2 linked regions of the Lepisosteus oculatus genome follow. The protein of the gene in region 1 interacts with the protein of each later gene in a pairwise test. Links are inferred from orthologs where the notes say so. Each region holds a gene or a part of one and is shown on either strand. Other genes may lie near its edges.

Region 1 (15,495 bases):
TAGCCGGAGGTGCAGGTAATATATCGGAAATAGAGACAAACTCCTGGCTTCAACCGATCAAAAGATCGCAACTGGATGATCTGGGGGGTCATGATTTTTGTGTGTTCGTAGGGGGCCAAGGTCACAGAGTCACGCGATTCCCCGAAAAGAAGGCTCCAAGTCTCGGGAACGAAAGCAGCTCAGACGCTACTTTCAACGACACAAACGGAGCACGGTGTGTTTCATTGTTTGTGCTGTTTGCAGTATTTTGCGCGCAGCAAATACGTAAAAGTCGACTGGTATCACACCTCCTCAAGCTCAATAATTAAGCACATTCACTATTTAGAGTGTATTATTACCGGCAAAGTTCATTGTAGACCGTCACGTAATTCCCTGAAAAAATAAGGCATGTATCTCTGGAGAGAAAACAGCTTGGACGCTACTTTCAATGGCACAGACCAACACTCGCGGCGCACTAACAAATGCGGTGGGTTTATATTGTTTGTGCTGTTTGTAGGGGGGTCCATTTCACAGAGCCTTAGATCTGTAGCATCTACCATACAGGGATACATTTTCTGTGTCTTTTTTGCTGAGCAAGTTAGCAAGCGGTCACAAGACACAAGACACATAGCGGTCCCACTATTAACACAAACCGATAAAAGCCGATTTAAGTAACATTTCAGGACCATATTTCTTGAATACATTCCAGGCAAATAACCCCAGACATGCAGTGTTCAATAAGGTTTACGACATTTTTTAAAATGGATATAACTCACAATTTATGACCAAGAGCATTTCATTTCTAGGAACAGGGGGGTCTGTCGGCTAAATGTAGCAAAACTGCGATTTTTCAACTAGAGAAACAAAAGAGATGCACTCCTCTGTAGTGCCTGCTGAAAACGTACTCTGAAGTACTGTTGAAGGAAACCCCAAGAATATTTACTTACAGAGCTTGAAACGAATGCAATGGCCTCAATCTTGACTTTGCCACTTATTCCGAGCGTGTCCACCTTTTTGAGGTCCACCCTGTAGTTGTACTGCAGCAGGTGCTTCCCGTTCAAGGCCACCTGGAAGAGGAGGCACAGCAGTGACACTCCGCTCTCACAGCTGGGAGCCAAGAAGGCATGGCTTACCCTACAGAACAGCAGCAGAGAGTCTCAAACAGAACAGGTGGAGGTTTATTCCACGCTGGAAAGAAAAGAAAAGAGACGAGACACAACGTTTCGGCTGTAGAGCCTTCTCCAGGTGTGAAGAAGGCTAAATTGGATAAAGGTTTATCTAACCACTCTATCCAATTCACTTGAAGAAGGCTCCACAGCCGACATGTTGCGTCTCTTTTCTTTTCAGAACGGAATAAACCTTTACCTGTTCCTTTGCAGCCTGCGCATGCTGACGCAGCTCCCTACAACTACTGCTGTGCATTTTGTGCTTGGTGCTCGGTCGCTCATCATCTCTGTGTCATTTTCATGGCAGGAATCTGTAGGAGGACCATTATTCATCCGGCCATTCGTTTTCTAACAGCTTTATCCAGTTCAGGGCCACAGAGAGCCAGAGCCTATCCCAGCAAGCAATTGGCACAAGTCAGGATACACCCTGGACAGGATGCCAGTCCACTGCAGGGCACACACAGAAGCAAACACACACACACTGACACCTAGAGCCAATTTTCCCAGAAGCCTATTAACCAACCAGCATGTCTTTGGACTGTGGGAGGAAACCAGAGTCCCTGAAAGGAAACCCACACTAACACTGAAACTCCGCACAGACAGCACCCCAGGAATTGAACCCAGGGCCCCAGCGCTGCAGGGCAGTCATTTCAGTCATTGTGCCAACATGCCACCCAACCTTTATTTATAAAATTGGAGAATTATTTCTGGTCATACTGTATAATCTGCCAAATTTGCAATGGACTGGTTATTTTAAGGCACATGAGCACTTGCAAACAAGCTCCTCTTACATCTTCACCTGTCCGAGTCGTTCACCTCCTGGCAGGGGGCCGAAGGGGAGAGCAGCTCCCAGCAGCATCGCTGCAGCCGAGCAGCCAAGTCACCAGAGCCGCCGTAGCGCCGCGCGCCGAGAGGACCCGACTCACGCCCCCTCTACCCTGGTAGCGCACCCTGGACACGACGGTGCCTACGCTGACGGGCCGGAGGAACTGAACCTCTTTAGTCCTGAACGGAGAAGCCCACGAGGAGGACGGACACAAGTAGTCACAATCCTCAAAGACAGGGACAGAGTCAACCTAGCGGACGTCTTCAGGACGAACAGCAAAGCACAAACTAGAGGAGCCCGTGTGGGAGTGCTTTTTAACACCTGGCACCTCTCCCACTGTACTCCTAATGAGTACAAGCACGTGCCTCCTGCTGCTGGTTTGAAACTGGAGCCATGAATCTCCAACACAACAAACTCCACCCAGATGTTGGGAACTGGGAAAACCGCTGTTTTGACGAAGCTCATTGTCGGCAGGCTTTTTCCCGCCGAATAAACATTTATACCGAAGTCTGGGTGGATGTCAGCTGCAGGCATGTTATCAGGCGTTTCTTTACGCAAAGGTTTGTGGGAGTCTGGAACAAGCTTCACAGCCATATATGTGAAGCTGATACTTTGGTTTCTTTCAATATGAGATAATAATAATAATTCCTTACACTTATATAGCACTTTTCTGGAAACTCCACTCAAAGCTCTTTGCAGGTAATGGGGATCCCCTCCACCACCACCAGTGTGCAGCCCCCACCTGGGTGATGCGACATGAGCCACAGTTCTCCAGAACGCTCACCACACACCAGCTCTCAGTGGGGAGGAGAGCAGAGTGATGAAGCCAGTTCATGGATGGGGATTATTAGGAGGCCATGACTGGTAAAGGCCAGGGGGACATTTTGTCCAGGACACCGGGGTAACACTTTTATTGACCATTTTTTTCAATGACCACAGAGAGTCAGGACCCCGGTTTTACATCTTATCTGAAAGACGGCGCCTTTTTACAGTATAGTGTCCCCGTCACCATACTGGGGCATTAGGACCCACACAGAACACAGGGTGAGCGCCCCCCTACTGGCCCCACTAATACCTCGTCCAGCAGCAACAGGCTACAAACCAGCAATGTTTCAATCAATCTCTTGAAAGAAACAGTCAGCCAGGGCTAAGAACATGTGAACGGTTATTAATCAGAGGAGAGGATACCCGTTTGTAGCCTGTTTAGTAGTTAGTAGCTAATATCACTCTGCAACTCACAGCTGGCAGCCCACTGAAGCTCAGCAGGTGGGAGCCTGGTCAGTACCTGGATGGGAGACTCCTGGGAAAAACTAAGGTTCCTGCTGGAAGTGGTGTTAGTGGGGCCAGTAGGGGGCGCTCACCCAACGGTATGTGTGGGTCATAATATCCCAGTTAGTAATGGAAACATTATACTTTAACACAAGGCTCTATCCTTTGGATGAGATATAAAACCTTTGGATGAGATCCTGACCCTCTGTGGTCATTAAAAATCCCAGGGCGTTTCTCGAAAAGAGTAGGGGTGTTACCCCGGAGTCCTGGTCAAAATTTCCCATTGGCCCTTACCAATCATGGCCTCCTAATAATCCCCATCTCTGAACTGGCTCCATCACTCTGTTCTCCCCACTGAGAGCTGGTGTGTGAGGAGTGTACTGGTACACTATAGCTGCTGTTGCATCATCCAGGTGGATGCCACACATTGGTGGTGGTGGAGGGGAGTCCCCATTACCTGTAAAACGCTTTGAGTGGAGTATTCAGAAAAGCGCTGTATAAGAGTAAGGATATTTATATATCATTAAGATGTTACACTGGGAATCCACCCGGCAGGGACATCTTACCTTGAACATGTCTCCCTCCACCAGAATGATGGTCTCGAAGTTCTCCCCTTTCTGGAGGGGCAAGTCGTAGAGGATCTCCTCCTTGCCCCAGCGCTCCTGCTGCAGCGAGTTACACACCACGCAGGGGGAGCGCTTGAACCGGGGGTTGAAATGGAAGGCCACGTCAGCACGGGGCTTGGTGCTGCTCCCACACATAAAATCCACCTGAAACCTGGACAGGGAGGGAGGGGGCGAAAGAACCGGGGTGACGCTGGAAATGCGAAGCCACAAGTACGTGCGAGGAGATCACCTGCACCGGTGGTTCTGCACTGTTAACCTGCGGCGAGCGGAGAGTCCAGCTGTTCATTCTGTCCCCGAATCCAATACGGCAGCAAATCACACAACACTGGGCCGCAAATTCCTCAATCAACAGATCAATGAATACAATGCTCATCATGCTGGAGCCAGGCACCATTATCTCCCATTAGATTGTCGTATCAGAGTCTCTCACGTTTGCAGTTAACACTGTGACTGCACTACATCGTTTCAGCATTTGCAGTGTTTGCCTATCTGAAGGTGAGCTAAGAGGAAGGTAAACACAGACGATCAAAGGAACACAGGAACAACACCATCACCCTCCTGTCGCTCGAAGCTTGTGTCATGTGAGAGGACCTTGTTACGATGACTCTTGGAGACCAGGCTCTGGATAAGCTATCTGAACTTTGTTTTAGAGATCTTGCTGTCCGGTTATTTTGGGAAATTCTGATTTCCTGCATTGTGGAATCCTCGGACTAAAAACGTTCTCTCCCGGTTGGGCGATGCATTTCTAGAACAGGAAATGATTCCGATTCATTGAAATGACTGTGGAAATGATTCCCACTTCTGCATATCCATGGTCATAAAAGGGAAGATTTATTTCTGAGAAGTTCCAGGCAATGCTGGGTTCTCCTCTTTTTGGTCCGTTTAGGCATTGATTCCAGATTACAGGGCTAGAATTCCCTGTTTCCAGGTCTACAAGACGTTAGCCTTTGAAACACGTGGTCTTTTAAATACATGAGATCGATGAACTGGTGTATGTTGTGTAACGTTGCATATCGTACAGATGGTGTTTTGTTTTGTTAAGAAATATTTGTCCTGTCAAGTTTGACTCCGATTTTGTTACTCCATCACCAGACCTGTGACGGATGATAGAGAACAGCTCATGTGCCACTAGTATGCACACGCCTGGTTTTGCCACTCGAGTGTCATTCGCTGAACTGCGCTCTCTGTTGAGTGACAGAGACCAATGAATCACTGAGAGTTCACTGCCAGAATCCGTAAGAAAACTAAATTTGCCTTTTTATTCAGGCCAGTCCTACAAAGATGTTAAGAATTAGTGAATTTTAATACTTACTTTGAAGTCTGCTGCAAAAGCAGTCCACATAAGTGACCTTTGTCTCTGTCCCAAGCTAATTCTGTTTTCAGTTTAGAAAGAGCAAACATTCAGCTAATAAAACATCTCTATTAATTTTGAGTTCAGATTCTTATCTGGTGATAAAAGGTTGTATTTGCCAGCAGCTTCTCATGATTGATACTAACAAGGGGTTTCAGAAGTCTCCATGGCAACAATCATGGATTGCGAGCAGTGTGGACTTTCTGTAAGCAAACTAGTTGCTAAATTTCCTCAAAAGAAATGCTTACCTGTCAGCATCACTGAGAACTGCTCCTTGGATAAGTACCATATCACCAGGATGAAGTCCCCCCAGTATTGTCCCAGCATAGGGAATTGCCTATAATGACACAGAATGCGCAATCTTACGCTCATACCACAATACTTCATCCAATGGTTACAATTTTAAACATTCGTGTTACCAATAATTAAATCATGTCAGCACATATTTTCAAAGGGTTCTTGTCTGTTGTGGGCTCTTTCTGTGAGTGCTGTGAAACTCGGTTTTTACTTGGCACTGATGACACCTGACTTCTGTTTCAAGAATTTCACATTAAAAATTAAAATTCCACCCTGTTGAATCAACTGTTCTATACACATCTGGTCATCAAAGCTCTGCAACGTCAAATACAATTGTATCAGACTCCGAGATATGTATTTTCACTGAATTCATTTCTTTGTTGTCCTCATGTTTTTCTTTTTAAAGACAATGAAATTGAGTATATAACGTTATTTTGAAGCTCGCCTTTGCCTTGGGATCATTTGGAATTTGAAACTAGTTTCTTTTCTAGGACTCAGGTGACTGTCACCGACAGCATGGACTTGCTCCGGTCTGAACTGTTAAACGCAAAAGGCGTTGCTACATTACCAATCAGAACACCCTCTTGTGTATCCATTATCTCAGAAAGCTAATTTCATACAGCCCCGAATTTGAAAGACAATTCCCATGAATAAATTCTATTTCGACCTTAAAATCGAGCCAAATAAGATATGTCTGGTGAAATATCTTAGCTATTCTTTTATAATTCACCTTTCTGAAACTCCCATCGCGTGATTACTTTTCAAAAGAGTAATTTAATTCATATCTGATTAATTCATTAATATTTGGATAATTAATGTATAATAAGTTATGTCTGATGTGCTTTATACTGTTTGAATTGTTTTATTATTCGGTTATACAGTGTGTTATCAGTAAAGCCTTTTAAAGTAACATTTTGTAATGAAAATAAATATGCGTTAAACCCCATAATTGCTGTAGTGTCTGTAATACATTAAACTGTTACAAAACCACTGACATGAGTGGCAGGTACAACGAAAAATGGCCATTTTAATCCGAATGTTAAAAGAGGCAATAATGCAGTTTCTCTATACAGACTGAGCGCAGATGAGCTGGTCGCGGTTTCTCAAATCAATGCAGTAGAAGTTAACTCAGAAACGAAACTGCAAACCACGACTTAGCCAATGCAATTAAAGCAAACTGGAAATAAACCAGCCGACGACTTAAAGAGGCGTTACGGTAAATCTAGAGAAGCGACACTACTAAATCTACTGCATTTTCACCTCATTTAATGACCTGGCTCCCAATACGGTGTGGGGTGCACACAGAATTTACTTCTTTCCAGCAAACATTAATACATGAAGCAAGACAGATTTCACTTTCCACTTCTTTTTCTGCTGAGGAGTGAAGTGGGTAGGGGAGAACACGGTCTGACTCTTATCTCTCGGTCCATAATCGTCTCTTTCAGCTCATCTCCACAGCAATGCCGCACAACATGGTCTGCTCGAGTGACGCAGGCCGGCGCGCCCGACGCGACACGATCTCGCCAAGCATCTCTCTTAATTTTATTTTAAAATATATAACATTGTGCAGCACACCCGGCGGTCCCAAAACGAAAGAACAGAGCGACATTTGCGCGTCACCGACCACAGGGCAGCTGTGAGGCACTGGGTGCTGTGCAGTACACCCGCAGTGCGGTGCAAGAGATCTTACCGGATTTAAAACCGTTTGCCTGGGACTCGTAACAGACATGACTCCTGTCCTGAGTGAATACGTGCCCTGGTCCAGCGATTTATATCACGAAATTGCACGCAATTTTAATTCCGCCTTATTTTCACTTCCTCTTTCGCAGACCTGGAGGGCGGAGTGAATTTTATCAGCCAATCGTGGCTGAAGGTCCTCCCTGGCAGGTTGTTGATGCTGGGAAGATGTCACCATGTGATCGTGCTGTTCGAAAATGAGCTTTAGATCCATGTGGCTTTGCACTTGAATAATCAGATTGTGGGTAAAACACATCCGTCTGGAAAGGAAACGTGAGGTGTTTTTCTTTTTCTCAAAATGCTTTCAAACAATAGGAATGCTATTGGTTTGCTCAAATCCAAACATGTCTACAGAAATGTTCAAACGAATGTCGGTACTTGAAAATTAGGTGATTAATCCGGCAAACTGATTTTAAATCGATGAAATTGACTATTAAATCTTCCCTGGATCCCTAATTTCTGGTTATATTGTTCGTATTTTAAATATCAAAAGGCCAGTCCCAGCCCTGTCTTTGCTAGACTCATCTTTCCTTCATAACTGCTTCACGTCCCAGCCCATCAGGTCAGGAACCATCCCGACAGTTACTGTTCAGGAAGTAACACCCACAAAGTTGTTTTACTGTAGAGGTTCAAGCTTGGTTGAATGTGCTTCCTCATACCATACATCGTGGGCTAGAACTGTGGCCTTTTCAAGATCTCATTCCGACTTTCCGCTTAACATTCCTAAGTTTTAATCACATCTGTGAAAAAAAAAAAAAACACCCCTGAAATGCTAAACCACGAGCCCGGCCGAATTTAATTGATTATTCTTAATTGGGTGGAGAAAACCTTCGTGTGTGGGCCAACCATGAGCCTTACCCTGGGTTTGCTCATCTCCTTGGCAGTGCAACAGCATTCTTTCTCCCTCTATTCAGCTGACTTATATCCCACCCTCAGACAGCTCCCTGCTTACTCAAGGGGTTCCAGCACCCAAGTACTTTAAGTCCCCAAATCAGGGACTACAGCTAAACCCAGAATTACATTAAACAACTTTCATGATTTGTACTACCATAACCAATTACACTTCTAGTATCACAGCAGTGGAACACAATCACTGCTCTGCAACTGGATATTCCTTCATGGATTAGATTTGCAAAAACCACACTCCACGGACCCAGAGGCTAAAATATACTTGCTTTTAAACTCTCAAGTTCTTAGCGCAAAAGCTCTTGGGTTGAGGCGAAGGACAGATTAAGATTTAGTCATCATACAACTTGTAAAGTCTGAAGCAGTGCAGGATGTTACACCTGTTTTGCCACGTTTGAGAGCACAAAGTGGTAAGCATAGATCCGAGACCACAGTGGATCAGAAGGCTGCAGTAAACCGCCTAAATAAAAAAGCAGCATTGAGTGTTCTTACTGGGAACCTCCTGTAGGCAAGAGACCAGGCAAGACGGTACAAGTGGAGAAAACGGAGACTGTTTAGAAGGAGGGAGTGCTGGGAGCCTTGAGTGGCAGGACTATTACTACAGACTTGGAAGGGTGCTCTGCCATCAGCTCCACTGGAAGAAGTGGAGCCGATACTCCCATCTGCAAGACGTTTTACAAAACATCACTGCATTGTACTAACTGGTGTGTACTAGCCCTCCCAATACCCATGTCCTGTTAAACTGAAAGGTTCTTACTATAACCACAGTGTAGTAAAGTCAGGTACAGAACCTCCTCTGTATCCTTGAGGAAGGAGCATAGGCTTGACACAGATCCTTAAACCCAGAAGGAATTTCTAAACAGCCTTTATTATAAAGCCAATATAAAACTATAACCATTTACATAAAACATTAAAAACTGTACAATTGAATCCCTTTGACACGTTTCCAGGGAGGTTGTGCAAAACGGTCTGCTTTAGTGGCCTATTTCACGGCAACACACAAGCGATACGGGAACAGAGGCGTCTCTGGGCATCGGTCCCGTCTCTGTGGATGCGCTAATGCATACAGTCCCATCACCCATCGCGCTCGTCCGCATCAAAAGTCGGCATCCAGCCTGAACGTGTTGTCCGTCGGCGCAGACATGACGCCCATCCTCTGGTACTCCCCTACGCGCTTCTCGAAGAAGTTGGTCTTTCCTTCCAGGGAGATGTTTTCCATGAAGTCAAAAGGATTCTCAGACCTGTAGATCTGTGGAGACAGTTGCACTTCACTGAAGAGCAGCATAAGGCTATAAACTCGAGCTTTAAAGTTTAGTAAGCTAAACTGAGCACTGCAGTAAACACTGGCAAACAAATAGTAAATTTTTACCCAGATTTGTAAAATGGGTTAAAACAGACTTTTACATCATGACACAAATTGCCATTTACAAAATAAGTGCCAAAACCTGTTAAGGGCAGCTTTCAGACAGCTCCTCATAGTCAAGGAGTGCTGTCAGCAGCCATACCACCCTGCAACTCGCAACGGAAAATGACCAGTAAAGCACTAGACAAGTGGAAGGAATTACCTTGCTGAAACCCAGCTCCAGCATCAGCCTGTCCGCCACAAACTCAATGTACCGCTTCATCAAAGTGCAGTTCATGCCGATCAAGTCCACCGGCAAAGCTCGAGTGAGGAACTCCTATACAATAAAAAAAAAAAAACACATGGGATCAGCCAACAGAACAAAATAACATCCCAGCCCGGGTTAACGGAAGGGAACACACCTGTTCTATCTGGACGGCATTTTCAATGATTTCACGGACTCTCTCTTCGGAGGGTTTGTGTACCAAGTGCTTGAACATGAGGCAGGCAAAGTCACAATGAAGGCCCTAGGAGAGAAAAAAAAACCAAGACTGCATGATTCATTTGCTAGCATTGGATGGAGTACAATTTGTGTGCTATTGTACAGCAGGTGTCTGGAATCCTAAAAAGAAACTTGCAGGTTGAATTAGGCAGAGCACCACTGTTGAGAAAGGCATCTAACCGACAGCTCACAGGTCGGAATAACTATGCATAATCCAGAAGCAAAGGAGCAAAGCCGAAGGAACAGAGAGACCTATATAAGCATGCTAATGTCACTATAGACTAGGAATACGCATATAGATTATGGTTGTGGATTTGGGGGGGAATAAACAGGCTCTCGGAAGAAAAAACTCACCTCATCTCTGCTAATTAACTCGTTTGAGAAGGTGAGGCCTGGCATCAGGCCTCTCTTCTTCAGCCAGAATATGGAAGCAAATGACCCAGAGAAAAAGATACCTTCTACTGCAGCAAAGGCCACAACACGCTCCCCTGTACAGGGAAAAAAAAAAAAACAATGAGATTGGACAGGTGTGAAAAGTGACAGTTTAAGGCAGATCATTGTGCTAGAACAGGCACGTCTCCCAATAAACCTTGCATACCATATACAGCATCTTTGTTTCCAATCCAGTTCAGAGCCCAATCAGCCTTCTTTTTCACACAGGGCAGAGTCTCAATGGCGTTGAAAAGGAACTCCCTGCAAAAAGAACAAAACCTTCAATACAAGACCAGTTGGCAAAAGCACATTTTGACCTACATCTTCTAGGTCAACATGGGGAGCAACTGAAAGCAAGAAGTGCTTGGAGTGTCACTGATAACAGTGCACAACTTTGGTCATTAAGTGGAGTATAAAACAAGCTACCCTGGGATCAATTAACTACTAACTGGGGCTTGTGTGGCCTGTTTAATGGGTCAGCATCAGCAGGAACTGCAGCCCAATAACTCTGGCTTGGGTGTACAACTGCAGGTTGTACCAGAGGAGAGGCAAGAGCTGTACTGACCTCTCTTTGGGGTCTTTAATATACGTGTCGATGAGCAGGCTGTACATTTCAGAGTGGATGTTCTCCATGGCGATTTGGAAGCCATAGAAACAACGGGCTTCAGTCACTTGAACCTCCTGGCTAAAGCATTCCACCTGGAGGGGGGAGAAAGAGTTGAATGAAACAGGAGGATCTGGTCTGGGGTCTGCACGCACTTACAGACATTTCCTGCCGATATGAAAAATGCCAACTGTGAAACAAAACATCTAGAGCAGGGTGCGGTTGTGGATCCTACCAGATTCTCGTTAACGATGCCGTCGCTAGCGGCGAAGAAAGCCAGGACGTGGGAGATGAAGTACCGCTCTTCGTCCTTCAGGGACTCCCAGTGCTTGAGGTCTTTGGAGAGGTCCACCTGGCAAAAGTACAGGCGATTAGACACCTCTCGACGGCCTTCGAACGACACAGCTGCAGAAGACTGATCACATTCCTACACCACTTGCCAGGAAAGGGGTCCGTATACTCGTGGTGAACTAAGCAGTTCCACATGGGACTAAGTTGGTGGATACCATCAGAGACGGAGAACTGCACCACTGCTGCCTGCAACTGTAGGTCACACCCTCTTTGCGGAATGCAAGTTTCCCCCCCACTCAAGCACAAGTTTAAGAATTGTTTATTAAGCTCAAAGCTAAGCAAAATTGTTTAAACAGGTGGTCTCAGATAAACGGATTAGGATTTCTTTCAGGTACCAGTGAATACGCAACACTGTTTAAAATATTCCCCATAGTACCTAAAGCAGGGGGTTTGAAATGGCTGTCCCTGGATTTCTATGTAGTTTTCATCCTTGCCCTGAGCGACTTGGACTAATCAGTTGCTTAATTAGGAACCTGACAGGTCTTCATCAATAAGGCCCCCCATAAAACCCACAGGACTATAACCAACATCGCAGAGCGATTCGGAATTAAGGCGGACACCCAGGACACAGTGAGCATTAAACGCCAACCTCCTCCGCGGTCCAGAAGGAGGCCTCGGCCTTCTTGTACATCTGCCAGATGTCGTGGTACTCGATGGGGAAGATGACAAACCGCCGAGGGTTCTCTCTCAGGAGGGGCTCGTCTTCCACGGTCCTCTTCTCCGCTTTGGGCTTCAGCGAGAGGAAACGAAATGAAGCGACTTAAACGGGGGACGGGCGCACGTCACCCCGCGGTTGTACACCCGGGGGGGAGGGGGCTGAGCTAGCCGAGAGCCGGCCAGGACTTCAAGCCCGGAGCTCCCGGGACACACGGAGGACCTCACTAAAGAGGACATACCGCGGGAAGCCGACGTTTAGGCCGAGACGCCGGAGTGAAAAAAAATATCCTGAAGCCGCACCTACCCGTCAGTAACAGAGGACCAGCGAGTTACTCGCCGAGTCTAAAAGCGCCGCGCAGCGATTTCCTTCCCCCTCCCATAACCACACAAGGCAGAGCTGCGCTGCGTTTGGCGCCAACACCCCACACACACAGGAGAAGGTTTTCAACATCTTTTAACAGCCTCACCTCGTTCCCAGCGTCTTCGAAGATCCTCCTCGCCGTTTTGGACGCCAAAACCCTGGTACTGCTGAGGCTCGGAGGCTTATTCGAGTAGAGGGACAAAATAATCCCGGTTAGTCACCAACCCGCTCAACAATTGACTAGAAGATAACGGGTTGCTTCTAATCTGAAGTCACACAGTTTTTTTTAAGTCTATATAAATGCAGCCTTAGTGCGCGCACCGGGAGTTACCAGCACCAAGTTGTTGTTTTTTTTATAAGCGCCGCCATAAGACAAAAACCGATCTGGGTTACACGACGTGAGCTTCTCTTACACCAGCGAGTACATACCTCGCTTGCCAGCACCTATGCAAGTACTTACCGTGTTCTCCTTGTCTGTTAAAGAAGCCGCACTCATCTTGGAAACGATCACTTTCTCATTCTTGGCAGAGAGGGGAGAACGAGCGGTAAGCATCTTTGTTTGCCGGGATGAAGAAGAGTTCTTAAAAAAAAAACGAAATACTAAGCGACGATCTTAAAACGACGAACTAAAATAAACTCCGAAGGTTCGTATTAATCGTGTAAAACGACGAAGTCTAGCAACTGCACCCTAAACCTGCACTACAAATGCCGAAGAGGGGAATAAAGGAGGTTGTTTCTCTCGGTGAATTTATCTGTTCAACTGTTGGCGCCGGAATCCGTACAGCCAATCAGCAAGAAAGCAGAGCTCACAGCCAATAGAATCAGTCTTAGGATGAATGACAGCGCCGATGGCCAATAAGATATGCGTAAAATGAAGACAACTCAACAGCCAATCAAAACAATACCACGTGCAGCGCTCGGCACACAGCCAATCAGAGAGGCCTGAGGCTGACGCACACAGCCCGTAGCCAATCGGATTGTGGGTTGTTGAGGTATTCGTCATTTTGACGGGAAATGTTTCGTAACCTGGATGAAAAGGCGCGCTAAAAAGTTACACAATGCAATTTAAATATTATCTAATAAAACTAAGGATGTTATAAAACTGTTGTTTTAAACATATGGCATAAAAAGGCAACTGTTGTATTAACGAAGCCATCAGGAAAGCATCGGTTTGTATTTTAAAAGATGTCGGACGTTTACTAAGTTTAATAACTTGCATTGTTAAAAGATGATGAAATTAAATCTTAGTACGTTTTGTGAAAAACATCCGCACTTCATCATTGAATCACTTTTGAACTGTTATTATTGTGTTTATCTGTGAAGAAGCAGGGGGTAATTATTAAATTAACCTAACGCAGTTTTCCGCTAAAATGTTAAAAAAACATCGACATCCGATGTAGCCGATTTCTACTTTTAAGTAAAAAATAAGATATATGAATAGCCCTCAGAAATATATTACTAATGTAGTTTATGTACTGATGGGATCCAATAATATATTTTTTCTCGTGAAAGCATTTCCTGATATTGTCCAATATACATAAACAGGCCTCAACGGGCACGTTATACTAAATAATTTTAAATGTCTTACCGGTGCATACTATATATATATAGCTTGTCAAATCAATCGGGTAAGGAAAATACTTTGTGGTTGTTTAACTTCACATACAGTTAATGTAATCCAAGCGGAACTGAAAAACATTGTTTAAGCAGACGCAAAGCAGTCGAGAAATAGTTGACTGTTAGGACAAATCGTGCAACTAATCCAACTGTGAATAATAAAAAAAACATACTCCACAATTGCCGAATTTGCTTTGTGAAATTCGACGCCAAACAGTTATTTACTGTAGTAACTTATTTAGAATAAACGATCCTCAGTCATGCTCTGCATCACCTCGACCCGTGGACAAACGAGTAAAGGTTGGGTTAAAACAACAGTTACAGAACTATTTCTTAAAAGACAACCAGTCTCTTTCAAGTGTCACGAATTTCAACATCGTGGAAAACAAATGCGTTTCGGGTACAGTATGTATATAGTCTTAAACCTCGAAGACTTTTTTTAAACTTATGAGTAGTCACAACAAGGTGGAGGATCAGGTCAATACGCACTTGTTTTCTGGTAGCATTTTGAGTTATTTACACGATCATCTTTATTTCATATTGCATGTGTCATGTTCTGTATCGCAGTGTCCTTACGTGCTGGAAACACGTTAAACTAAAGCACCGAAAGTACGGTTAGGCCTTTCGGGCAGCCCGTGGGGTTTTGTCTTGGCTTCAGAACTACCGACATTTTTTCATTACGATTTCGCCGTACAATACAACAGAAAGAACCTCGATTAATTAAATGCATGAAACTAAATATAATGTAGATTTTAACAAAGCATAACATTAGCTACTCAACGCTATTATTGTTGTTATTGTTATTATTATTATTACAGGCGATTACCGTCAGCTGCTCTAGGCCGCTTCTCAAAGCGCTTGATAAACCACTTTTAAAGGCGCTATATATATATATAACAAGTTTATTATTATTAGGCCAAATGTTCAACTTTAAATGCAATGCCGTCAGTAGGCTAGATTGCAGTTGCCATTCCTTGCCGCCGGGGGGAGCCATTTCATTCACCATTGAGCAAGAAGGTTAGTCCAGCGAGAACTGTTAATGTAATCGCTCCGCTGTTTGCCGTGCTAGAAACACTTAAAAACTCAACAACTCACCAGGGCCTGATGGTATTCGACCAATAATTGTACTGTATACCAATATGCCTTGCTTATAATAATTATAATAATTGCTTACACTTATATAGCGCTTTTCTGGACACTCCACTCAAAGTGCTTCACAGGTAATGGGGACTCCCCTCCACCACCACCACCAGTGTGCAGCCCCCACCTGGATGATGCGACGGCAGCCATAGTGCACCAGTACGCTCACCACACACCAGCTCTCAGTGGGGAGGAGAGCAGAGTGAGGAAGCCAGTTCATGGATGGGGATCATTAGGAGGCCATGAGTGGTAAAGGCCAGGGGGTATTTTGGCCAGGACACCAGGGTAACACCCCTACTCTTTTCAGGAAACGCCCTGGGATTTTTCATGAC
Region 2 (15,318 bases), on another chromosome or scaffold:
TAGACATGCAAATCTTTTTAGGATTAGCTCTTGTTCCTTTACATTATTAGTAGCCATCTTCCACAAGATTGTAGTAGGCATCCGCACTCTTTATGTTCTTAAAAGTCAGACTTTCCATTGGCCTAGAGAGAGCTATCATCTTGGAGTACCTAGTGCAGCAGCAGGGATTTTCTACTGGATATGCACCCCTCCCACTTCATTTCATCCCCACCACAGGACTTTGGTCAAGCGAAATATCGAAAGGAATCGATTTCGGAATTTAATCCAATAGATTTTCGCTCCAAGTAAGGGGCGCACAAAGTCCTGTGAGCAAAACATTCACACAGCTAGCTGAGATATCCAATTTCCATTCAAAATCTGGCCAAAGCAGAAGGATCCTAGAAGACTTTTTTTTTCTCTCTTATGCACACAATTGAGTCCAAATGCGAAGTCGGAGTTGAGCACAAACCGCAGTACTTACAGACTCCCAAAACATCTGATCTCGATTAGTTCAGGGAGGAAACAGAGACTAACCTGAAATTTCATTTGCTTGCTGAGACACGTTCAGTAAACCTCTCAGGTCAGTTTGCTCCTGCTGTTGTGTTGTAGATCCGCTGTTCCAGTTACCCTTGCTGCAGTTTCACGATCTGGGCATGCTGCAGCCGGTACCATTGCCACTGAGTATTTTATTTCTGTTCGTGTGCTTCCTTTCATCCAAAACGACAAGCAGACAAAGGGTGGTCAAAAGCAATTTCCATTTCCAACGTTCTATGCAATGATTCATATTTGAAAAGAAAAAAATGTTAATATTTAATACCACTATCAATGTTATGTTTAAGATTACGACGAAAATCGTGTTTCTGAGGAAAAACAAACTGGATAGACTCGTTTGTATTTAGCTACTTGTACGTATAGAATTTAATTATTGAATTTGTTTTTTTTTTATTTTAGTGGCATGTTCGAGCCCCTCACTCCCCTCTGTGGGACCCATTGCCAAAGGGTTCACTGTTAGTCTCTCATTTAGGTCTGTCATCTTGTAGCTTTGCGCATGGGTTGCTAGATCAGATTTGTTGTGCTCAGGTTTCATGTCTGCAGGGTGAATAGTGTTCTCCACTACAGGGCTGCCTGTCTATGCACTTGTTATTTAATAAAACCAAAACAACATCCACAGATGAATTCTCCACACTGAGAACTCCCTGCCTCAGAGAAAGGACAAACAGTAGATCTGACAGATCCTTTTATCAACGCGTACCAAAGCAGCTGACCTCACAGGCCTCTCCTGATGGCAGAGCCCCAGATAGATCAGAACTCCGCGGCAGTTCAGTGGAGCTTCGTGAAACATTTTTTTTCATTAAACGAAACATCTGTAACAAAGAAAAAGATGATCCACCTCTGAGTCAGGACATTCTCTTGAAATTCCATGCTTTTGTGCTCTCGTACAAAAACAGATAAAAGATTGTGACTTTAGATATACAGGAAAAATTTTACTTCTTTGTAGCCTGAAAGATTTGCCTCATTTTTGTAGCCCTAGTTTAATTCATCTGCCTGATACCCTTTTACCTTGGTGTAGGCCACACACTATTTTATGTTGTCTGATGCCAAAAAAGAAATGTTAATACTCTCAGCTGCATGTTGCACCTTCTTGTGAAGTTTTCCTCACGGTCAAAAGCAGACCTAACTCAAACCAGTGCAAAATAATTTTATAGCAGTAGAACTTCTTACGAAGGGATGTTGGTGCATTTCAACATTGCAGCCAGATCAGGCCATTCACAAGCATGTCCGGGTTTAGCTACAGTGTGTTTTCTGGATGGTATTTCCAACAGTGATTCGAACAACAGCATTTGTTGCCCATCATCCTACTTGCTTATACAGTAGCCTTTAATGTCCAAAGTCCAAGGAAAGGAATAGCTTGGTTATGTGATATGGCTCATGGAGTAGGCAGAGCAAGGCCTGTGGAATCTTAAGAAGCTTGCTTAAATTAAGGAAGTAGCAGAGGAGATGTCATTAATTAAGCCAGTAATGCTTAATTTTGTATTATTTATTAAACAGTTGCTTGTTCAATTAAAGTTTAACAATGCCTTCTATCTTTAATGTTTAACAAACAACAGGATTCATAGGACGGCAACAGAAATAATAACACTGCTCAAAGAAAATAACACAATTACCCTTTTATACTTCCTACACAGTGTCAGAAGAAAAGGGTTCTGCAAAAGCTGGCTTTAAGATTACTTGAATAATAAGTCATCTGGGTTAAAGAAGGGGGAAAGCTATTTCATATTGTTTACACTGTCTGATTGTAAATGGCATTCATTTTATTTAATGGAACTTCTGCATAATTTATCACTAATTTAATATGCAATTGCATCAGAATGAATGTTAATTTATACATGCAAAATAAAGCATTACCATTAAGTTTGTATTCATTAAGCTCCTCGTTCCTAATATTATCTTAGCACCCATTCTCCTAGACGGGGTTGAGCCATAACAGACAAATTAAATCATTTCTGCTTGTCTTTCCTTAAGATCTTTTTTCCTCACATTGCCTTTGTGCTGTAGTAAAATGTACTGTTTCAGCACGTTTGAATTGTGTTAAAACTGTGAACTATTATATAAACATTAAAGCTATTGCCTCTATAAAGACAAAAAAGACAGGAACAAATTAAAACTATCGTTAATGAGTTTTAGCAATTTTAGAGATGAATTTCAATATTTATCTTGCTGCATTTCTTTTTAGGTAATTCCAAATATTTTGGCATTAATGCCACAGTACAGTAGGATGATTGTGAAGTGATTTATATTGACAAGTTACTTAGTTGTTCATGAGATGTAATGAAAACTGTTCTTGGTACAGTATCTCTGGAATCATCATTGTTATTAATATTGTTATGGATTAGATACATTTGAGTTTAAATCTAGAATGACCCACCATTTTAATCTTATTCTTAGCAAAGGTTTGTATAATAAAAACACAAGCTATATTAAAAGAAAAAAATGAACAGATGCACATATCCATCTAAACATGTTACCTATATCATAAGTAAAGAGCTGGTTTTATAGTAATCTATTTATGATCATTGTGATTATTTTTAATTATTATTCAATAGGGCATCTGCATGAATCACAGTTAATCTACTGTAAAAAATCCCTTAGTTAAAGCAAAACAACCTATGCACACCAGATATTCCCAAACTGCTAAACTAACTGCTGACACCTTTGGAAACTTACCGAGTTATCTTTACTATTTCACAGAATGGTTTATGTGAGATCACCTGAATTAAAGAAATATCTGTACAGAGTGACACAAAATCACATTTTCTCATTATAATCCTCACGAATAGCTTAATATAGATGTATGGAATGTTATTTCCTCATTATTTCCATCTTATTGAATGCTACTGCATAATCATTCACCACGAATGTCTACAAAAAAACTAACTATGCAAGCTTCCATTGCTTTTTACTTAAATGTAATGAGAATGCTACAAAACAGAAAAAAAGTCATATTAAGAATGAGTAGGCTATCTTGTCAACAAGTAGGAAATAAATGTTAAATAATGTTGTATAACCTATGGAAAACAAAAGCAAAAATTCACATGTCAATAATACAGGAAATACGGTTTAAATCTATACTATAGTGTTTTTAATACTGCTTTAGAAAAATCCAAAATTTGAGAATCATGTAGAGTTTTTTTAATCTGAGTATGTACAGTATAGTTCCATAGTTGACACCAGTAACTTGTAGTTACAGTGTAATAATACGACTGTTACATGTTGCTATAGAAAGTAGTACTGATTAATGAAAAGGAATAGTTCCAGAAGCATCGGATTGTTCTATTTTAATACCATATTGCTCAGATTACCCTTATATGATTAATGTTACTTTAAAAAAATAATCAATTTGACATCTATTGATGTTTGTTACAAATGAGGATATTGGAAAAAAAACAATCTCAAGCTCTTATTAACATCAAAGTGCTCCTATTAGATTCACGTGTAACTACAGTATTCTGTCTGTATCCACATTTTTCATGTAGTCGGTATACTGGTATAATTCAATTGAGAATTAATCTGTAACATATGCTAAAGATAGTATTGCATATTTAAGATATATCAACACTGGATTTGGGGTAAGATTCTGAAAACAAATGATTCAGTAGAAATTAAACTTTCAGTGGAGTTTGGCATTGTCCTTTTGGCTCAGGAAAGCACATTCAAAAACAGTTTGAACTGCAACAGAATATGAGGGTTTGATGTATAACAAGCAAAGGGCTTTTTCTCAAATGGAGGATGGAGAGATGTATTACCAATAGATCAGTAAAGCCTTATTTGCTCTGCCAGTGTTCCCAATTCCAGTAAGGCGGTAACACTTGGGATATTCCTATCCAGGGTCTCCAGCAGTGTCTTTAAACATCATGTGTTTTTTTTTTCAGTATAGCACTCTGGTCTTTTATTCACGGCAATGAAACAAATCCATTTTGCTTTTCATCACCCGTGTACTAGCTTTGACATGCCACTGACAGGGTGATGGTCCTGTTTGCCGAGACATGCTACAGGACCATCATCGGAGTGTCAGATCATCTGTGTGGCCGGTGTTTAAAGTTAATGAATTCAGAACCCTTAGAAAAGACCATGGCAACCTACCCCCTGTCACAAACACATTGCCTGCACACGTTTAGGCAGGGGAAACCATTATTTTTTTATTTTCTCCCCATTTAATAACAAGTGCATGACCTAAAGCAGCCACAGGCACATTTCCCCCATTTTGGAAAATAACTGGCAATCATTTTCACTGTAAATAACGGCAATGACAATACAGGTCTTGTACAGCGTGTAAATGGATCACTAACGTGGGACGTTTTGTGCGTCCCTTGCTAGCCAACCTGCCAATTTGTGCTTTTGTGTATAAAAAACATAAAGCATTTGTGTATGTGGCTGGTTCATATCGACTGTTGAAAACAAAAGAACTTGTATTCAGAAACATACTGGTCTGTGTAGAGTTTCTTTATATGTTGTGTTTGTATAATGAGAATACTTCCTTAACAAAGTTATCCTGGCTTCCATGTATTTTTTTGGGGGGAGGACTTGGGGGGTGGATGTGGATCTGTAAAAAAACTATAAAAAATGAAACAAAATAAACAAAGTTACATTCACTGTTGTAAGTGCAATGAGCTGAACATCATGTATCCATTGTAAACTCTTGTGTATGTTTCAATGTATTCCTGTAAACAGTTGTAGTTAAATTTGGTGCATCATGTCATGTAATGTGATTAATGAGATAATGACTCTACAATACATTTCCAGCAGGAAAAAAATAAAGAAAAAATGAAACCTATCGATTGCTTCAGAAATAACTTTTTTTTGTAAGCAGGAAACTGCTTGAAGAAGAAACTGCGTTTCTTCCTATTGCTAATCGATGCAGTGAAGACAATAACACAAATGTATTCTTCACATGGTCTGCTCGGATTCCTTCTGGAAAAGGAGCAGTGAAAAAGAAACGATCAAGGGCATGCCAGCATCCCTGTCATCCTGCAACTTACATCCGCCAAGCCCACTGGAGCTCAGCACGCGTGAGGGTGGCCAGTACCTGGATGGGAGACCACCTGGGAAAGCTAAGGTTGCTGCTGGAAGAGGTGTTAGTGGGGCCAGCAGGGGGCGCTCACCCTGCAGTCCATGTGGGTCCTAATGCCCGAGTATAGTGACGGGGACACTGTACTGTAAAAAGGCGCCCTCCCACTGTAAAAAGGCGCCAATTTCCCATTGGCCTTGTGAAACATTTCGATCATGGCCTCCTAATAATCCCCATCTCTGAACTGGCTTCATCATTCTGCTCTCCTCCCCACTGAGAGCAGGTGTGTGGTGAGCGGACTGGTGCATCATCCAGGTGGGGCTGCACACTGGTGGTGGTGGAGGGGATCCCCATTACCTGTGAAGTGCTTTGAGTGGAGTGTCCAGCAAAGCTCAGTCCTAAAAACTGTGTAGAGTACTTCTAAACATACACACAACGGAATAAGGTGCATCGGTCATACAGCGAAGTTTTAGCTGAATCAAAAGAAAGGTTATTTTACATTAGATACATCTTTTTTTGGTTTCCTGTTTTTTTAGATAAAGAAGCTCAGTCCAATTAGGTGCAGAGTTTTATAAATCATAAAACCGATTATTCAAAGCACCTGTACGTTTACCGATGGATTGATTGAGCAAGCAATCGATTCGATTGAGTGAACCCAGGTCCATGAAGACTTAATTTTGTCCCCACATAAAACTACATTTCTTCATTTTATACAGCGCCCCAAATTTGTTCACAATTTTTAGAAATCGATGATATAATGATGACCTACACGGAAGGTCACAGGTGAAATTAGACCTGTCCTGTAAATAGGGCGTAATCATAAGACACCCACATGGGCGAGGGAATCCGCCACTTCCTGATCGGGACAGCCCACCCGCTCTGCAGTTCCGTAGGAGAGCACAGTGACGCAGATCTGAAATAAATTCATGTACCAACTTCACGGTTTACAGGCTGTAGTTGATATCAGTCCATTTTTGGGAAATAACTGGATAATCCAAATGTTATGCTTTGAACGTCGGCTATAGTAATATGATTACTCCGTTTAAACTTTTCCTTTCACCTATTTCCTTTCCTGCGTTGGTACAGTCCACAACTTTCGTTTCAGTCACGCCCTTTTGGAAATGGGACTACATCATTGAGTTTAATGGGAGGGGGGTACTATTTATATAGAAAGCTTTTGGTTCGTTGCTAATGATTATATTGTACTCACAGAGTTGCGTCTTTTATGTATATTTAATGCTAAATTATGATTCAAACATAGATTGTTATATTTTATTAAAATTTACTTAGGTCATTTTATTAACCCCCCCCCCCGCTTTTTTCTGCATAGTGGAGGCTCGTGTACAGTCTGACGGCAGTATGGAGTCTCAGGTAAAGTGGTTTAGAGTCGAAATCACAGTAAATTCATTGCTGGGTTTTTATTTCGTTATGTGTAATGCACTTGTCAGAGTTATTTTAAAGACGCAATATTAATTATGTATAGTTCTTATTTAAAGCAAGTTTTATTTCGTCAAATCTCGACAACTTTGTTTCAGCGGTCATGTCACTGCGGACGCAGTGTACATAAAGTAGTGATAGGTTTTTCTAAGAGAAACGTTTTTCCCCCTGGTATGTATATGTCCTATTCCACGGCTGGGCATTTTTCTTCCCAGGTTTCTTCTGCATTAACCCATAATGTAAGAAATATTTCCCGGTCGGTTATTGTTTTGTTTGACGCCATTTGCAGCGATGCAATATTTGGGTTTGGTTTTGCTTCAACGGTTAATTCGGGACGTGAACTAGATACCCCATTCAAAATCATTTGATAAAACTTTCAGGTTTTTTTTTGTACATTTGGTATTATACCGAGGGTAAATGTCGGGAAAAAGTCTTTGTCCACACCCTATGCTTGTAAGTTAGTATTTTTTCCTGTTCGCTTCCTGGTAAACGGTAATAAACGGTAATAAACGGAATATTGTTGCCATACCGGCTGTTTAAAACCACTTTCGTCACGACCTCTTAATCACTGTTGATTTTTAAGATTTGGCTCATTAAGTCGCAGTTTGTTAAATCTGAAATAACGATTTTCCATTTATCATAGGAATCTTAAAAATTTCAAAATGAAAATAACCTACAAGTTAAATAAAATAAGATCCTGTATTTTATTAATTATATTGTTTCTAGGCATAAGCGGCAACACTGAAACTAAAGCCTGTTACGTAGTAGTGTTCTTTTATGTGCTTTGGAGCGGAAGTAACGTCATTTTTCATCCTAGGCCGGTTTTTCCCTCAACAGGTAATCACGAATCCAGAGGAGATTGTCAACATTTACAGAGAGCAGAGTCGGTTCCCGTCTCTGACAAAAGCCTGTATCGGACCCGTGATTACATCCCAATATGGGGGAAAATACTCTAATATCTACACAGGTGATTACTGTATTTGATACCAATTTATGAAACCTAATGCAGACATTTATATTATAGACCTCACCAGCGTTGCCAAAAACAGATCACACATACCATTTTTTTTGCATGTTTAATGCATGCTCTGATGATGGTACTAATTAAACTAATAAGCCTTTCATTGAAATCCACCAAAGTATTGCCAATGTGGAGACCAGTACATCTAGCATATAAAAAGTTAGTAAAGAAGATTCTGTCCAGGCAAACTCTCCTTGGCTAGTTACTTGTAGCAGAAAGATCTAAGGATTTCATTCATCTGTTTCTTTAAAAGATCAGGTGCAGTAATCTCATTGTGTTCCATATGCTACCACTCTGTGTAAAGAAATGCTTCCTATTCTTTGTCATAATCATGCTACATTTTAGTTTAGTTGTTCCATTAATCATGAAGTAGTCCCTTGGATTAATTTTGCCAGTGCCATTTCATGTTTTTAATGCCTGATATGAAGTGTCCCCTGTCTTAAAATTATTCTAACTTGTGTTTGCATGACATAACGTTTAGAGCAGGAGTTAATCTTCTGCAAGCTGTTTTTCGGGGACTGGTGTTTTTTTTTTAATATGGTCATCGGAGTTCTCCAAAATGCTCATAAAATGTAATGGTCCATTTGTCAAAATGAGTGAAACTTTATAATGAAATGAACCTTGAAATTAATCTTTTCCTGCTACCATCTGTGTAAATCATGGAAGACTGAAGTATTGGACCAGTTCCATAGTGTTCAAAATTCTTCACAGGAATAAAAAAAAAAATGTATTGCCGAATTTCAATGTCTTCCAGAATGGACCCAGTGTGATCTGGAACGGAACGAAAACGTCAAGTTCTGTCGACAGTACATCGTGTTTCACGATGACAAATCCATTGTCTATTCTGGACCATCAGGAAATTGCACAGAGATAAAGAGAGAGTACGTGTCTTCATTTTCTTTATTATGAAACCAGCGGTCTGAGGATGGCCCAAGATTGCCATCTTTCTAATAATGCATTTCCCTTGATGCTGGACAGCATTCAGTGGATCGTACAGTACCTGCAGTAGCTGAAATGCTTTCTCCATGATTGTTTTTCAAAATTAACTGATGAAAAACTTTTAGGAAACCTGGGATTCATTCAGTAATTGCAGAACTATTTCTAATTTAAGGCTCAATACGTCTCAGGCCTCAAACCTGATCAGAAAATGAATGCTAATAATTCAACTGATCTAATTTCTGACCACATTCTGTGACCCTCTCAAAAAATGTCTGCAGGTGTCACACCTGAAGAAGGCTCCATAACCGAAACGTTGTGTTTTCTTTCTTCCTTTTTTTTCAGCATGGACTAAACCTATTACTTGTTCCTTTTTATACTCTTGCCTCTGTATATGTTCTGTTCCGGTGCTTGTTTTTTTTTTAATTCTTCACTGTATTTGAATTTATTGCCAATAAAATCTTACGCTGCATTGTATAAACTGTGGTATTGTGGTATAAGAATATCCATTCTTATTAATACACGTTTTCAATACATTTTTAAATCAGTCTCTCAGCATTATGAATAAATAACCCCAGGATTTTTTTATAGCTGATAAATCCTATTTCCTCATTGATAAGAGTTTTTTTGTTGATATTCCCAGGCTTCTGAGTGCAGACTCTCCTTCAGGAGTGATGAAGGCTGTCATCCGGGAGTGCAGCATCAAGGGAGAGGACAAGCAGTTCCTTGAGGTTAGATAATTCCTTACACTTATTTAGCACTTTTCTGGACACTACACTCAAAGCACTTTACAGTAATGGGGCTCCCCTCCACCACCGCCAGTGTGCAGCCCCACCTGGATGATGCAGCAGCAGCCATAGTGCACCAGTATGCTCACTAGACACCAGCTATCGGTGGGGAGGTGAACAGAGTGATGAAGTCAATTTGTAGATGGGAATTATTAGGAAGTCATGAGTGGTAAAGGCCAGTGGGACATTTGGCCAGGACACCGAGGTAACACCCCTGGGACTCCCTGGGATTTTTAATGAGCACAGACAGTCAGGAACTTGGTTTTACGTCTCATCCGAAGGACAGTATACTGTCCCTGTCACCATACTGGGGTATTACGAGCCACACTGACCGTAGGGTGAGCGCCCCCCTTCTGGACCCACTAACGCCTCTTCCAGCATTAACCTTAGTTTTTCCCAGGGGGTCTCCCATCCAAGTACTGGCCAGGCTCACACCGGCTGAGCTTTAGTGCATTACTCGTTGCAAGTTGCAGGGTGATATGGCTGCTGGCCATGTTATAGATGTGTCAAGGACACTCTGGACTGTTAATTGCAGTTTGAACACTACCACAGACATTTTTAGAATGCATCTCTCGTATTCCAGCTCAGATGAAATATTTGCCAATGTAATCATGCTAAGGACGTATACCAGTATGAGTGGAGAAAGGTTTCCTCAAGGCACCACTTGCAGCTGAGCAGCATTAGCGGTTTTCTGCCTTCCCATAATTCATTCTGGCACCCTGAGTCTGTACGTGTGCACAGAATAAGCTGTCAAATTCAGGTTTATTTGTGAGCATAATGGTAAACTTGGTTTAGCTTTAATGTTTTATATTGGTTGTTATGCTGCTTTCTAGTGATGGATTCCCTTGTTTTTTTAACTCAGTGATGCTGTCAGAACCCCTGTGCTCCCACTTCTGTCCACTAGAGATCGAATTGAAGTGTGCATCGTCATGCTGCTGTGTGAGAAACATTGCCACCTGCTTTCTGCACGTACCTGGTGCCGAATGACTTTGAATCCTGGGAGAAATATTCTAGAATACAAGTTTGACCAGACCTGCAGTGCTTATGTGAGCTTTGCCACACTCATCGAGTGCATTGTTTCCCTCAGATCTGGAGCAAGAACTGCAAAGTGAAGAGCATCAATCTGACTGCACTCAAAAAACACGGGAAAGTCTACGAAGATGGTAAGGAGCTAAAGATTTTTTCAGAAGCGCACTTTTTCAAAGTATGGCTTTGCAGTGTAGTAAGAGACAGGCTTATGGCCTTTGTACTGGACCACAGCTCCTCACAGCAACCTCTGACCATCCATGGTCTTCAAACATGTGAAGCACGGCAATGAATTTTAAGGAGGAGGTCTGATGTCACAGCTTAAGTTTTGCTTATTTCCCACGGTATCATAAGCACACTGCAAACTGTGCATTGGATGTCAGTTTAGCAGTTCTGTCTGCAGATCTTTCAGAATGCTGTGGGTTTCTCACAAACTTCTCATCTCTTCCAGATCAGTTTGGCTGCCTGGTATGGTCCCACTCGGAGACTCACCTCCTGTATGTGGCAGAGAAGAAGAGACCGAAAACGGAGTCCTTTTTCCAGGTCTCATAAAGGTGTCATTTGAACAATTACAAAGGATGTTATTACAGCAATGTACATTGAGAGGCTCTTTCCCTTTTTGGTGTCTCTGCTTTTGCGAGAAAACTCTTTAGTACCCACTTTATGTGGCTTGGCTCGGCTCCAACAGAGTTGTTGGACATGCAGAAGGAGCATTATGGATCCATGAGTCTTTCACCCATCTCTCTTTTTCCACTTTCACCCCTTTTCTCTTTTCGAGCTGCTGAAAAAGGTGGTTGGTAGTTTGCTGTGTAGTTAAGGTAAATTCTGTCATTCCGTTAGACCTTTTAATTTGTGTTGCTCCCAACAGACTGAGTCGCCGGAGACCAGCACTCTGGGTGTTGAAGAAGAGGCTTTGAAGGCAGAGAACAAGGAGGAAACCGTGAAAGTAGGTGCAGTGCCTTTATAGTTTTTTCTTAGTAGGTTCATTCTCTGTATAGGAACACAGGGAAGGTTGCAAACGAGAGCAATCCATGCAGCCCATCCACCCCAGTTGGTAGTTAGTAGTTAGGTGATCAAGGATCTCTTCCAGTGTTTTCTTAAAGGAAGTCGCAGTTTTATTTTAGCCACATGAATGGACAGTTTCTTCCACGCTCCCACAGCCCTATGGGTAAAATGTTTCCTGTTCTCGCTTTTAAATGCGCTTCCACACAGTTTACACTTGTGTGCTCTTTTTTTATTTGATTACTTGTATCGCGTCCCTTGTTGTCTTCTGTTCAGCCTGTCAGTGTACAACCGAACTTGACGAATAGAGAAATTCCTCAATCACATTTTGGTTAAAATTGCTCTTATTTTATTTTCATGCATTTCGGGAAACGTATTTGAACTGAATTTGAAGATTAGGCTAAATGGTTGTGATACTGCTAGCAGCTTTAGGTTAACAAGAACTATTTGAAGCCCTTGCCCCTCAGTTTTAGGAGGATATTTCAGTTTCACAGCTGAGGAGGCCTCGGTTTTCTCTGCTTCCATCTGTAGCTCTTCCCCGCCCCCCTGTTTTTTAGGGTGACCAGTTCGTGTTTTATGAAGACTGGGGTGAAACCCTGGTGAGCAAAAGCACCCCGGTGCTCTGTGTCCTTGACATCGAGAGCAGCAACATCTCTGTCCTAGAAGGAATCCCCGACAACATCTCTCCAGGCCAGGTCTGACTTGGGGTTCTTTATTTTTAAAATAACGCAGTAGAGTGAACCTCTTTTGTGTGTGCAGGGAATTACGGCCGCTACTTGTGACAGCGTCTCTGTATTTCAGGCTTTCTGGGCCCCCAGTGACACTGGTGTGGTGTTTGTGGGCTGGCAGCATGAGCCATTCCGCCTGGGTCTGAGGCACTGTCCCAACAGAAGGTTAGCACTGTCTGACCGAAAGCCATGTGTTAGCGGTTCCTACTATCGTAACGGAAAATGTGAAATTATGTGGATGAGAGGAGGTTGTGTGGCCCGTCTTGCTCATCCAGTTCACTTAATGATTCAGGAGGTCTCTAGATCGTTGTCACAAGCCCCTAGGGACTGGACAGCATTGCGGTTTGTCAAATGTATTGTAGAATATTGACCGTTTCCTTTAAAGTTCTTATCGTCATTGTCTTTATGCGGCTTCAGCTAAGAAATACTCAAGAGAAAGAGAAACTGAACCTGTCATACTCCAGGTGACACAAACTGAAGCTCGTTCTGTATTTTAGGTCTTCCTTGTTTTATGTGGATCTGACTGGTGGCAAATGTGGTAAGTGAGGTAATCCCCTTTTGGCATTGTCCTTGTAATCTTTTTTTGCATGTGGCTTTGCTGCTAGGATTGTTAAGTTTTATGGACAGAATGTCATTAGGCAGAGGTGTTTTCCATTACTGTGCTGTAACACAATTAGTTTTTTTTTTAATTAGCTGCTAGCGTGCAGAATCTGAAAGGCCAATACTGTTCAGTCAGCTATTGTGGTTGCAGAGACCTTTTCATAAGCACTGCCTGTAATGTGCGCATTCTCGTTTTTGTTGTTGCAGTGCAGCTCTCTTCAGACACCAGCGCGGTTTTCTCTCCCCGCCTCAGTCCAGACTGTTGTCGGATCATCTATCTGGAGTGTGGAGTGTTTGGGCCACATCAGCAGTGTAACAGGCTCTGCATGGTCAGCTTGCTTTAGAATGAGAGATGTTACTCAGTGATGTTTAATAGCTCGTAAACCGATAAATGGATTCCTGTTGCCTTGCAGTGTCAGATGGTTGTGCCTCATACTTATACTGCAGCATTGCTGATTGACAGAATGGGTTTATGTATTCATCTCAGCTTCTCTGAAGAGCTCCCCTGTCTAAGCATGTGTAGATAAAAGCGATGCAAAGTTTAATGTTGAAACTACAGGTATTTTCAATCCGCAGTAAAGTCTTGTGTAATTATTGGCAATATGCGCAAGTGGTGTCCCCTTAATTTCCTGTTTAACTGAATTTTTTTGTTTCTTTATGTAAAGGTCAATATGGGAAATCTCTAGAAAATCATGTGGTTGGGGAGGTGAGGGGCGTGTTTGGATTTGTAGTTTTCCTGAACATTTTTTTTCCCCTCATTTTCAGTATGATTGGTACACAAAGCAGACTAAAGTGGTGGTGGACGTTGTCGACAGGCCCACATCAGGTAACCTTGGCCGAACCTACCTTAGTCTTTCTGGTGCTTTTTAATTGTACGTAAAAGCAGCGTTACTGCCTTGTCGCAGGATTCGTCCCTGCTGTTGCAGTAAGCGGTGTTGGTGGACCAGAAGGTAGTGCTCTCCCCTCTAGTAACCCATCAAATGTTTTGCATGTTTGCCAGTGACGATGTACTATGCTTTAGATGAGGCATGAAGTCATGGTCCTAATTACTCCATTATTAAAACTCCCATTTCACTGTTCTTAAAAGCACAGGTGTTAAAACCTGGTGTCCTGACTATGTATCACACTGAGCATGCATATTTCAGCTGCTGAAGTTTGCACCGTTCTACCTGATATGCTCTATAGTGATACTGCAGGCACTACTATGCCTGTGAATAGTACCTGCTGAACTGAATCTACAATTCACTGGTAGATATGGGGCTCTTTATGTGTACAGTGCTTTGAGATCTTTGCGATGAAAAGTGCTATATAATCGTGATTAATTAAGCATACAGTGAAGTGATTAGATCTCATACTATCAGAGAATGATATAGCACTGTACAAAACATTATTTTCTGTGTTTCTGTGGTACCTCACTGCAGAAGACGGAAATCCACTTATCATTTTGTGTCTGTGTAAAGCCTTTCAGGCATTATTTGTACAGCACACATCGCAGAAGCAAGCTTGTGTGAAAGGCTTTAAGTCCAGGCTTGCAGTCGGAGAATCACATAGATGTGAGCGTGTGTGATAAGTGTTCTCGTTTCCTCCAGCTGGTTTCACTGGGATCTACAGCACAGCACTCTCCCCTTTCTGCTGGTCAGCCGACAGCCAGAGAGTTGTGCTTGCTTCCCCACAGAAGAGCAGGAAGGTGAGGCTACCGCCACGGTAACGTTTCCTGGAAATGGATTTGTACAGTCTGCTGTAAAAAAAAAAAAAACTTGTCGGAAAGGGTAATAAATTATATTAGAACTAATCTTTGAAACACCGTGTTCTCGTGATTACAGATCCAAATTATAAGACCTTAGGAGCTGATGTAGATTTTACTGTCTTATAATGGACACTCTTTTCACTTTATTTTTTTAGGATCTTCTTGTAGTGCATATTAACACTGGGGATATCACATCGCTAACCACAGGTAAGTAAATCTGAGCTGGAGTTCAGACACTATCACTAAACAGTCACTTTCATCTTCCTCCTCTGTTGAAAGGCGCTTTGTGAGGGTCTTGAAGGAGTTGTCTGCTTTCGTTCGCAAGTTTTTCTTAAACGAAAGGGTTTCGTTTTCCCGCAGATTCAGACGTGGGGAGCTGGACTCTGCTTACCATTGAGCGAGACCTCATGGTGGTCAGCTGCTCTTCCCCAAACCATCCACACAGCTTGGTGAGCCTCTTCTCATGTCTAACACATTGTTGTTTTCCT

The links.
Region 2: the proteins of lgals8a (region 1) and apeh interact in binary tests that used the Homo sapiens proteins (3 or more experiments, as listed by UniProt). The two-hybrid records come from large-scale screens. The link is inferred for Lepisosteus oculatus from reciprocal best matches to the Homo sapiens genes LGALS8 and APEH.

Annotation. Positions count from the first base shown.
Region 1 is NC_090697.1:11,723,931-11,739,425, forward strand, and holds the start of lgals8a (galectin-8), read right to left. Parts: upstream 7,429-15,495; 5' UTR 7,244-7,428; coding exon 7,205-7,243; intron 5,555-7,204; coding exon 5,466-5,554; intron 4,018-5,465; coding exon 3,807-4,017; intron 1,047-3,806; coding exon 927-1,046; intron 1-926. Other genes in the region: rrm2 (ribonucleoside-diphosphate reductase subunit M2), read right to left, coding at 9,254-9,406, 9,723-9,836, 9,922-10,026, 10,356-10,489, 10,600-10,694, 10,999-11,132, 11,273-11,389, 11,978-12,118 and 2 more.
Region 2 is NC_090699.1:64,303,603-64,318,920, reverse strand, and holds the start of apeh (acylamino-acid-releasing enzyme), read left to right. Parts: upstream 1-6,993; 5' UTR 6,994-7,020; coding exon 7,021-7,221; intron 7,222-7,819; coding exon 7,820-7,949; intron 7,950-8,757; coding exon 8,758-8,884; intron 8,885-9,582; coding exon 9,583-9,670; intron 9,671-10,814; coding exon 10,815-10,890; intron 10,891-11,204; coding exon 11,205-11,296; intron 11,297-11,621; coding exon 11,622-11,699; intron 11,700-12,312; coding exon 12,313-12,450; intron 12,451-12,556; coding exon 12,557-12,648; intron 12,649-12,980; coding exon 12,981-13,021; intron 13,022-13,290; coding exon 13,291-13,412; intron 13,413-13,848; coding exon 13,849-13,909; intron 13,910-14,672; coding exon 14,673-14,770; intron 14,771-14,985; coding exon 14,986-15,037; intron 15,038-15,190; coding exon 15,191-15,279; intron 15,280-15,318. UniProt on the Homo sapiens protein: This enzyme catalyzes the hydrolysis of the N-terminal peptide bond of an N-acetylated peptide to generate an N-acetylated amino acid and a peptide with a free N-terminus. It preferentially cleaves off Ac-Ala, Ac-Met and Ac-Ser.